Cricetulus griseus: one gene and its partners. The protein of the gene in region 1 purifies or fractionates together with the protein of each later gene. This does not show direct contact. Links are inferred from orthologs where the notes say so. Each region holds a gene or a part of one and is shown in the gene's direction. Other genes may lie near its edges.

Region 1 (3,657 bases):
GAATAGGAATTTAGCAAAGATAAATGCCTGGAGGAGGCGTGTGTATGGTGTCCCCTACACATCCCTAGCAATGCCAATAGATAAAGTAAAAATATGTATGTTTTAATTTAACAGGAAATGACTCATTGCTTCATTTTTATTGCTTATTTGTGGTAGATGGGAAAGAAGAGTTGATGATCGTGGAAGAGTTTATTATGTGGATCATAACACCAGAACAACCACATGGCAGCGGCCTACCATGGAATCTGTTCGAAATTTTGAACAGTGGCAATCTCAGCGGAATCAATTGCAGGGAGCTATGCAACAATTCAACCAACGATACCTCTATTCGGTAATTAGCAATTTACAAGGTGTTAGAGGTGTTAATGTTACTTTTCCCTTACTTTGGTGGCTTTCTAAAATATGTAGAGTACATTCAATAGTTTGTTTGCTTCATTTTATTTTTGGCTAATCTTTAATATTACTTCTGGTTTGTCTAAATAAATAAGCATTCTTGAAATTTTTCTGTCTTTGGAATATTTTAGATTTTAGATTAGGATGTTCATCCTGTATATAGTACATTTGTTTTGTTCTGTGTAGGACTTCGTGTGCATTAAAGTTTGTAAACAGGACAAAATTAGGTATTGGGTATGTATCAAAATACTTTCTACTAAGTAGCACAGTCCTCTTAAATGGATGCAAATTAAGCTACTTCAATAGAATACCAGGGCTGGAACAAGAAAGAATCATTCTCTGGCTTACAGTGCCATCAAGCAGCTGAGTTCTGCCTTTTAGAGTATCATCTATTTCAGTGCATCTTGCCTGCTCTATTATCATGCCTCTTGCCTACACTAGCTATTGTTATGCACTTTATCTGCACCGTCTGTTGTCATGCAGCTTACCTACACCATCTATTGTCACCAACTGAACCAGCACCATCTCCTCATGCATTTTACTAGTACCATCTTTTACCATGCAGATTTCCTTTACCATCTATTGTCATGCACATTACCTTCACCATCTCTACCGGCTGTTGCCATGCATCTTTCCTGCACCCTCTATTGCCATGCATTTTGCCTGCTATTTTGAACATAAAGAGCTTCTACCCTTGGCCTGATTTCCAGAGTCTCTGCCATGAAAGGAAAGGGTAAACTGAAAGGGGAGAGGTTTCCTGTAGCAGGGCCCTTGTACTTAGCAAGCCCCTGCCTATTTGCTTAGCAGTTTAGCAAAGGAAACCCTCCTGCTTCTGCCTCATTGGCTAGAATTGGTCACTTTACTAATCCAGATTCAGTGGACTATTCCTTATGGGCACATTGTTACCTCAAACAAAGCTAGTGATTACATTATCAAGAAAGATAAGATAAAAATGGATATTTAGTGCTGTCTGGTGGCAGTCCTATCAAATATTCATCAAGATGTATACATATTACCATTGAATAATTATTTTGCAGAATAATTATACTATAATGATTTACCTATTTTTGAGCAAATAATATTGTCTCCTTTAAATGGCATAATCTCTATCTCTAATTACCCATCTCCTCTTACTCCTTAAAAAGGACTAGGAAATTAGCTTTTTGATTTTACTACACTATTTTTAAATGATTTACTAATAATTATATCAGCTGGTGGCTGCTCTTCATAATATTTTTGAACATTGTTTCTTGAAATTGTTGTATTCATATTCCTTTATAACATTTTTTAAAAATTCTAAGATATGATTGTTAATTGCTTAGTATATTAGTATACTTCTGGCTAAAACTGCTATCTTATATTGCAACCTCTTTTTCAACCAGGCTTCAATGTTAGCTGCAGAAAATGATCCATATGGACCTTTACCACCAGGATGGGGTAAGCTGATATGGTATTTATAAAAATATGTATAAGGTATATAGGTATCAAATTGTTATTGAATGTTATTCATACTTTATGTTTTAGAAAAAAGAGTGGATTCAACAGACAGAGTTTACTTTGTGAATCATAATACAAAAACAACCCAATGGGAAGACCCCAGAACTCAAGGGTATGTGTATAGTAAAGTCTTAAGTTATTACACATGAGAAGATGGATGGAGTCAGTGGGCTATAAGTACCTGAAACATACCCACCATATGATTGTGATTTTTTTGTCTTACAGCTTACCAAATGAAGAACCCCTGCCAGAAGGCTGGGAAATCAGGTATACTCGGGAAGGTGTTAGGTACTTTGTTGATCATAACACAAGAACAACAACATTCAAAGATCCTCGCAATGGGAAGTCATCTGTGTAAGTGGAAACCCAAACTTCAAAAATATTATGTAGTGAATACAGGAGGTCTAGTCTCTAATGCAGCTTCAAATTTAGAAACAAGCCATGTTCAAGAAAACATGCACAAGTAATATCTACCTATAACTGGTTTTGCTCTATATAATTCCAGAATGGATTTGTGGTATGGCATTTCTTTATTTAATAATATATATTTTGTATATAATAACATTAGCATATATGTGTGTGACAACTACTATATGCCAAAGATTGTTCTAACCATTTTAGACATGTTAGCTCATTTTTATCTTCCCATGACCTTTGAGAGAGAGATTATATTATTATTTTCTTGTTTGTTTTTTTTCTTTTAACAAGGCCCCTTTAAGAAGTTATTAGCCATTTATTTCCTTAAAACACACAATATGTAGTTTACTTTTCATTTTTATCTATTTCCTTCAATGGTACATTATATACAAAACAGCCACTCTTTCCCCATGTTTCTAGGGAGTAATGCTTTCATTGTCTAGAGAATGCCAGGTCCCTGTTAAGTATTTGATAAATTTTCTTGGGTGAATGAACTTCCATGACTGTGACAGCAGAAGACAGCATTTTGTGTTCACTCTACCATGAAAGTTCCTGAATTTCCGTGTATTTTTTGTTAAGACTCTCTCGGCAGGAGAAGCAGGTCTCATTCTCAGCTGACTCTTGTGTCTGCCTCTTTTCTCATTGTCCAGCTTGCTCCAAGAATTACTTATGCTTTGCTTTGTTTTTGTTCAGATCAGGTTTAAGATGAGGTCTAGGTTTTTTTTTTTTTCCTCCTGTTCCTCTTATCTAGAATCCTTGACTTCTTCAGCTTTAAGAATTATCAGAATTCTGCTTATAGTTTATCACACAAAAACAATAGTACAAAAAAAAAAAAAAAAGAATTATCCAACGTTCTTTTTAAGTAGTCTGTAGTAGACTTTAGGCCTTCTATAAACTAAGGGCTTCTCAATAGACCTGTTCCTACTTGGAGTCTCTCTCGTGCATATGTTCTGCTGATGGGACAATCTTCATGACTCAAGCCTCTATTGTCCTAATGAATACACCATTTATCGACTGTAAATAGCTTTCTTTAGTCATACTACAATCTGACGCACACTGTTTCATAATTATATTACAGTGTTATTTGTTATGCTTCTTTTTAGAACTAAAGGTGGTCCACAGATTGCTTACGAACGCAGCTTCAGGTGGAAGCTTGCTCACTTCCGTTACTTGTGCCAGGTACTACAGTGGTAAATAAATCTCATTTATAATAATTTAGTCTGATAGTTATGGAATACATATGCTGTGGCTTACATGCTGTGATATTTTTGTTTTTAGTCTAATGCACTACCCAGTCATGTAAAGATCAATGTGTCCCGACAGACTTTATTTGAAGATTCCTTCCAACAG
Region 2 (2,804 bases), about 32 Mb from region 1:
CAGTAAGCCCCATGCTTAAAGGTTAATTAAGATGTCTTTCCCCCATTAGCATCATCGACTCTACCTGGAGTCCTGGCTTACCCTTACTCCCTCTTTTTGTTTTGTGCTGGCTATGGGGACTCAAGAGCAAGTGTATATGTATGTCTTTTGATTTCAGGAGGGAAAAGAACCTGGTCACCACCGCCAACTGTCTGCCATTTTGTTTTGTAGATTCCCAACTTCTTCTGGAACCTGGGGATCGGTCACACTGGTGCGTGGTGGCATACTGGGAGGAGAAGACGAGAGTGGGGAGGCTCTACTGTGTCCAAGAGCCCTCCCTGGATATCTTCTATGATCTACCTCAGGGGAATGGCTTTTGCCTCGGACAGCTCAATTCGGACAACAAGAGTCAGCTGGTACAGAAAGTACGGAGTAAGATTGGCTGTGGCATCCAGCTGACGAGGGAAGTGGATGGCGTGTGGGTGTACAACCGTAGCAGTTACCCCATCTTCATCAAGTCCGCCACACTGGACAACCCGGACTCCAGGACGCTGTTGGTGCATAAGGTGTTCCCTGGTTTCTCCATCAAGGCTTTCGACTATGAGAAAGCATACAGCCTGCAGCGGCCCAATGACCATGAGTTCATGCAGCAGCCATGGACGGGCTTCACCGTGCAGATTAGCTTCGTGAAGGGCTGGGGCCAGTGCTACACCCGCCAGTTCATCAGCAGCTGCCCGTGCTGGCTGGAGGTCATCTTCAACAGCCGGTAGTTGTGTGGGGAGAAGAGGACAGGACGGAGCGTGAGCCGAGCAGGCCACCATTCAAACTACTTGCTGCTAACCTTTCCCTCCCGAGTGCTTGCTTTTCATGCAAACTCTTTGGTCGGTTTCGTTGTTACCATTGTTGGTGTTGTTTTTTGTTTTTGTTTTATTTTTGTTTTTCCTTCTCGTTGTCCTTGTTTGTGTTTTGTCTTGTTCTTTGAGAAATAGCTTGTGATGAATTAGTTTGTTTTGGTTTTTTTTATTTTTTTATTTTTTTGAGGTGGTGGGTGTGGTCGACAGGACACCCCGACATGAAAATGGGAAGCAAAAGTCAGCACTGCCAAATATGGTATATGAAAGTGGGTACTGCCTTCCCTTCGGATCGGCATTGTCAGGAGTGGATGTTCGGTCGTGTAGGGTTGTGCATGAACGGCAGATGGGGAGATGCTTTTTGTGTTCCTTATGAATGTCCCCAGCTGAGAGTCTGCAGTTTCAAGCTGTTTGTCTCTCGAGCCCTTTGGACATGCTCAGTGGGGCAGAGGCAGTACCTGGGCAGACTGGCAGCAGGTGTTCCAGCAGCTGCCAAACTTTGCCCCAGCCTGCCGAAGCCCCTGCCCTGCCTCCCCCCTTTTAGGACACGGGCCTATCCACAGGCTTCTGAGAAGCCAGCCTGCTAGAGGCTGAACCAGAACCAATTGTTTTCATCCCTGTCTTACTGCCTCCTGTCACCCCGCTGCCATTGTCATGTCTGTCTTTTTTGGCCATCTGCTCCTGGATCTCTTTCTTGAGATGGGCTTCCTAAGGGCTGCAGGGACAGCCCAGTCACAGTATTGCTAACCCAGGACCCTCGGGCCCTTCAGCCGGTCCCCCTGCTGTGGTTTTTCATCAGGTTTCTCCCAGATGTGGAGAGTCAGCTCAGCACCCCATCCCCAGCCTGTATGTTGAGCTCTATAGACCAGGGAGGGGCATCCCTGGGAGGGAACTGCTCAGTGGCCCCCTTCCCAACAAGAAGGGTGTGGCCTGTCATAGCGAAGGTACCATCCTAGGCTGACTCCCAGCTCTTCTCTCAACTCATACACTCGTATGATACTTTGACACTGTTCTTAGCTCAATGAGCATGTTTAGACTTTAACATAAGCTATTTTTCTAACTACAAAGGTTTAAATGAACAAGAGAAGCCTTCTCATTGGAAATTTAGCATTGTAGTGCTTTGAGAGAGAAAGGACTCCTTAAAAAAAGCTGAGATTTATTAAAGAAAAATGTATTTTATGTTATATATAAATATATTATTACTTGTAAATATAAAGACGTTTTATAAGCATCATTATTTATGTATTGTGCAATGTGTATAAACAAAAATAAAGAAAAGATGCACTTTGCTTTAATATAAATGCAAATAACATGCCAAATTAAAAAAGATAAACACAAGATTGGTGTTCTTTTCTATGGGTGTTATCACCTGGCTGAATGTTTTTCTAAAGGAGTTTATGTTCCATTAAACAATTTTTAAAATGTATACTTCATCCCATGTTGTTTAGCTGCTTTTTCTTTTCCTTGGAGGGAGGCTGGGAAGTTTACCAGTGGAGACAACGGCGAATGGGCCTGGGATCTGGAGACCACCTGCCTTATGGGTACCCTTTTGTTTGGTGTGGCTGCAGGTTTCCTCATGGTGCATTGGGAAATGACGGGAGGGAGTCCTCTGCTGAGTGTTTGGAAGTTGGTGGGTTGAGGAGAAAGGGTGTGTCACTGGGAAGATGGGGTTGGTGGCAGAAGAGCAGGTACATCCTCAAGAACCAGGTTCCCTTGGCTCATGCTAATTCTACACTGAGCTAGAGCATCTTTCTCAGTAGAAGGGACTTTGCCAAAATGAATTCCAAGACATTTCCTGGGGATTGGAGCCCCAGGAAGTGATAGAGAATAACTGCCCCACAGTGATCAGAGGGATGAAGTCCCCACCTCCTTCCCTCTCAAGTGATGACTGAATCCAAGCTTCACTTAAGGCTGTCTGCTAGGATCTTCATGATTGATAGGTTCTCAGCCCTGTGGTCCAACTCATCCCTGGGC
Region 3 (3,657 bases), on another chromosome or scaffold:
CACCTGCCCTACAAGGAGGAAGAGTGGATCCCAGAGTGGATCCAGCTAAAAGCTGCACACAGTAGCACTGGCATCTGTAATCCCAGCACAGCCCTGTCAAGCTAGCAGGGCAGAGGCAGCAAGATCTCCAGGAATCCAAGATATTCCTGGCCAAATAGCATCCAAGAGACCTCTCAAAACAACAGTGGTTTGAAGGTGAGGACCAACATCCAAGACTGTTCTGTGATTGTCACATGTGCTTCATGGAATGAGCACCCATGGATACACACATGGATAATCACACACAATGTGTATACACACTAAGGAAAACAGCAACAGTAGTCACCTACACAGTCAGACATTGGTATTTGAACGTGTGTGTTATGAGCACATGGTGCAATGTACCTGGAGGAATGTCCTGTAAAGGCCAGCTGAGCTAAGCCTAGTCCTTTATGCTCCAGGCAAACTGGAATAGAGCAGAAGGAGAAGATGAATTCCAGATCCCCGGGAGAGCAAGACACCCCTCTGAGTCACCGAAGGAAGCTTCTGGCACCTATGTCAGGCAGGCGGGTTCTTCAGGTTCTTCAATAGACCAAGGCAGTAAGGATGCACGGCGTAAAGGAAAGCGTGGGAAAAAGGCAAGTTAAAGAGGTAGTGGCAAGTGTGTCCACAATCTGATGGCCACACCCCACAACAGCATGTCACAAACTGGTCACAACCCCAAACATGGTTGCCAAACATTTGTGCTCACCTTGTGTTTGAGACGGACTCTAATTCAATTTTTCAAAAGATTTTTATTTTTACCCTAAGGACCACATACTTTTTTTTTTTTTTAATATTCCCTCTGTTGGTTGGCTGAGAGCTTGCTCTGGATTTGCACTCCTTCCCCAAATAAACAATAAATAATTGAAAAGTGGATTGTCTGTGAAATTGTGAAGAAGAAAACTCATTCTGCTTTTGCTCTTGTAAAACATTGTCTTAATTATTCTACCTACTATTCCTTGTTGATAATTTCTAATTTATCATATACACTATATATCACATGCATGGAAAAACTTAGTTCTAGTATTTCCTAATATTTGCAGAACTGAGCACTGCCTGTGACTTCAGGCATCCACTGGATCCCATGCAGACAGGGGAACTGCATACTCATTCCTCGTGGCCTGGGTGAGAATGGGTGGTCACTGCTTTGTTTTTTTACGTCTTGGCAATGTGATAGTCAAGAAATTGTATTTTAGAATATTGTGGTTTACATTCACTTTGTTTTGGATGATGTTGGGTACTCTGTATCTATTCCTCTCCACCCATTTTTACTCTTAGGTCATTAATCTTTTTCTTCTCTGTCTTCAAGAGATTTATATATTGGAGACATTGGCCCTAGTGATACAGATTTTCTTTGCATTTTACTGGCAGGTAGCTCTTCTCCAATAAAGAAGTGTTGGTTTGTTTGGGGGGATTTTGTTTTGTTTGTGTTTGTGTATGTGTATAAATTTCACAATCTTCCATTTATTTGTTCATTGTAAGTCAAGTCCTTTGTAATCTGTTGGGCACAGAAAACCTTTGTTTCTTTTTTCAAGTTATTTTATGACACTTTGAGGTCTATGGTTATCCTGTTTGAGGGTTCTTAGAATGGTGCCCTTGGCTGTGAGTTTGGGTGTTGGCCAGAATCTTTGCAGTTGTCTATGCAGTGCTGGTGTTCCCAGTTAAGTGGAATGGCAGGTCATTGTGTATCTAGATATTCAGGTTTCAAATTGAACTTTTTCTTCTATCAAAACCAATTTACTTGGGTACATCCTTCTTTATTGGCTGAGTCATTTAATCTTTTAAGCTTATCGTACTATATACATGCAAGTTTGAGGAGTGATATCCATGTGACACAGGTCATAAACCAGTGAGAGAAGACACAGGCTAGCTTGAATATTATTTAGTAGATGCTGTGTTGGAGTTACAGTTCTACTTACATCACATCAGTAGGAGCTTGTTTAAAACCAGACCCTTTTCAGTTTTGTGACAATTCTGGTTTTCTCTCTTTAGCAAGTTGGATGTTTTCAATAACCTCAGCTAGTATTTGTTGGCAGTTTAGTATATAATGCTTTCAGTTTCCTTTGCATTTCACTAACCTTTACATTTTGAAACATTTTTACTGTTTAGACTAAAGACTCTTCAAGTGAAGAAGTTAATTTGAGTCAGATTGTGCCCTGTGAGCCAAGTTCAGAAGAAAAATCGAAAGAACTCCCCGAATGGAGCGAGAAAGTGGCCCACAACATTCTGTCAGGTATCACAGGGCTGTCACACCTTGAACCAGTAAAAGTGCTGCTTATAGATGTGTGTATGTTAAGTAACTAATAAAAATACTGACAGATGGGCAGGGCTTCTGAGAAGGTCGCCATTTCTGTGTAAGTGTGTTATTGCAGGATCCCTCAGCTATCAAAGGGATGTGAGCATAAATCATAGTCCTGTCTCTTGAGTGCTCATCCTTTCTCCCCTTCCCTCAGTACCATGTTCTGGGGTTTGTGTCCTCTAAGATCCCCATGTTGAAGTGCCAACCCTCAAAGTCACAAAATAGTGGGGTCTTTGAGCAGTGCCTGGGCTGTGAGGGAGGAGCCTTTGTGAGTGAATAGACCTGGGAGTCTGCCTTGCTTCCAGTGTCCTCAGGGTTGCCTCTCCAGCATCCCTGCTTGGACTTTCAAGTCTCAGGCCACAAAAAGCCAATCTCTGCTGCTTATCAACCACAGTTTTGCAGGGTTTGTTACAGCAGCAAAGTCTAAAATGCCTTTCAAGAGAATGAAAAACAGTTGGTTAGTCTTTAGAAGTGTGATAGCTTTCTGCTGCTGCAGCAGAATGCCAGAGGTTGTTTCATGGTTTAGGAGGTGGCAGTCCAGGGGTGGGTTCCTCTGTTGCTTTGGGCCTCTGATAAGACTGCCAGACAGGAGTAGATGAGAATCTGGGGAGCAGCAGCAGCAGCAGGGGCTGAGGTCCCATACTGTCCTTTGAGGTAATAAGGCTTGACTTAAGGTCTCACCAGTTAGGTCCACAGTACCTCCCAGCAGTACCTGGACCTCATGCAGCTTTCAGGTCACAGAGAACTGTACTGCATTCACACATCTAATAATTTGATGGGCTTCAGGATGATGGGATACTAACATTGGCCACTTACAGACTGGGGGGGAGGGGCACATAAAACGTGAGGAAACACATGACATGTGACTGGAGACTCAGTAACCCCTCATGTGCCATCACTTCCCTTTATCTAGTTATTGAATATCAAAGCCCAAATATAGTAACATCAGTATTCTAAAAGTATCTATGATAAAATAATTGAAAACATATCAGGGTGTCAGATGTGTTTTCCCTCAGGTCTCAGTTCCCTTTGCCAGAGGGGGAAGCCATGATTTGAGTTTTCTATTTTAGTACAAGTACAAATGACTGATTTTTCTTATGTCAGTAAAAGTGAATAATAGTCCAGAAACTGTAGTGGTTAGCTTTGGTCCAGATAAGTCAAAGTTACCACCAACCTTTCATTCACTCAGCAATTGTTCATTGTTTTCTATCTGTCATGTCAGCAATACTGAGGGCAACCTATGCAGCTGTGACTATAAATAGTGAATATTTATCACCACACAGGTGTATAAAGGATCTAAGGCACTGCCATGAAACACCGTGTTTACCATTGGTTAT

Evidence for each region.
Region 2: the proteins of Wwp1 (region 1) and Smad7 purify together in Homo sapiens (affinity purification with western blotting; 3 studies listed by BioGRID, with this or other methods). This does not show direct contact. The link is inferred for Cricetulus griseus from reciprocal best matches to the Homo sapiens genes WWP1 and SMAD7.
Region 3: the proteins of Wwp1 (region 1) and Spart purify together in Homo sapiens (affinity purification with mass spectrometry; 5 studies listed by BioGRID and IntAct, counting the BioPlex papers as one, with this or other methods). This does not show direct contact. The link is inferred for Cricetulus griseus from reciprocal best matches to the Homo sapiens genes WWP1 and SPART.

Annotation. Positions count from the first base shown.
Region 1 is NC_048595.1:132,927,844-132,931,500, reverse strand, and holds part of Wwp1 (NEDD4-like E3 ubiquitin-protein ligase WWP1), read left to right. Parts: intron 1-156; coding exon 157-331; intron 332-1,775; coding exon 1,776-1,830; intron 1,831-1,917; coding exon 1,918-2,002; intron 2,003-2,115; coding exon 2,116-2,244; intron 2,245-3,410; coding exon 3,411-3,486; intron 3,487-3,585; coding exon 3,586-3,657. UniProt on the Homo sapiens protein: E3 ubiquitin-protein ligase which accepts ubiquitin from an E2 ubiquitin-conjugating enzyme in the form of a thioester and then directly transfers the ubiquitin to targeted substrates.
Region 2 is NC_048595.1:164,538,821-164,541,624, reverse strand, and holds the end of Smad7 (mothers against decapentaplegic homolog 7), read left to right. Parts: intron 1-210; coding exon 211-749; 3' UTR 750-2,263; downstream 2,264-2,804. UniProt on the Homo sapiens protein: Antagonist of signaling by TGF-beta (transforming growth factor) type 1 receptor superfamily members; has been shown to inhibit TGF-beta (Transforming growth factor) and activin signaling by associating with their receptors thus preventing SMAD2 access.
Region 3 is NW_023276806.1:96,034,115-96,037,771, reverse strand, and holds part of Spart (spartin), read left to right. Parts: intron 1-440; coding exon 441-617; intron 618-2,130; coding exon 2,131-2,254; intron 2,255-3,657. UniProt on the Homo sapiens protein: Lipophagy receptor that plays an important role in lipid droplet (LD) turnover in motor neurons.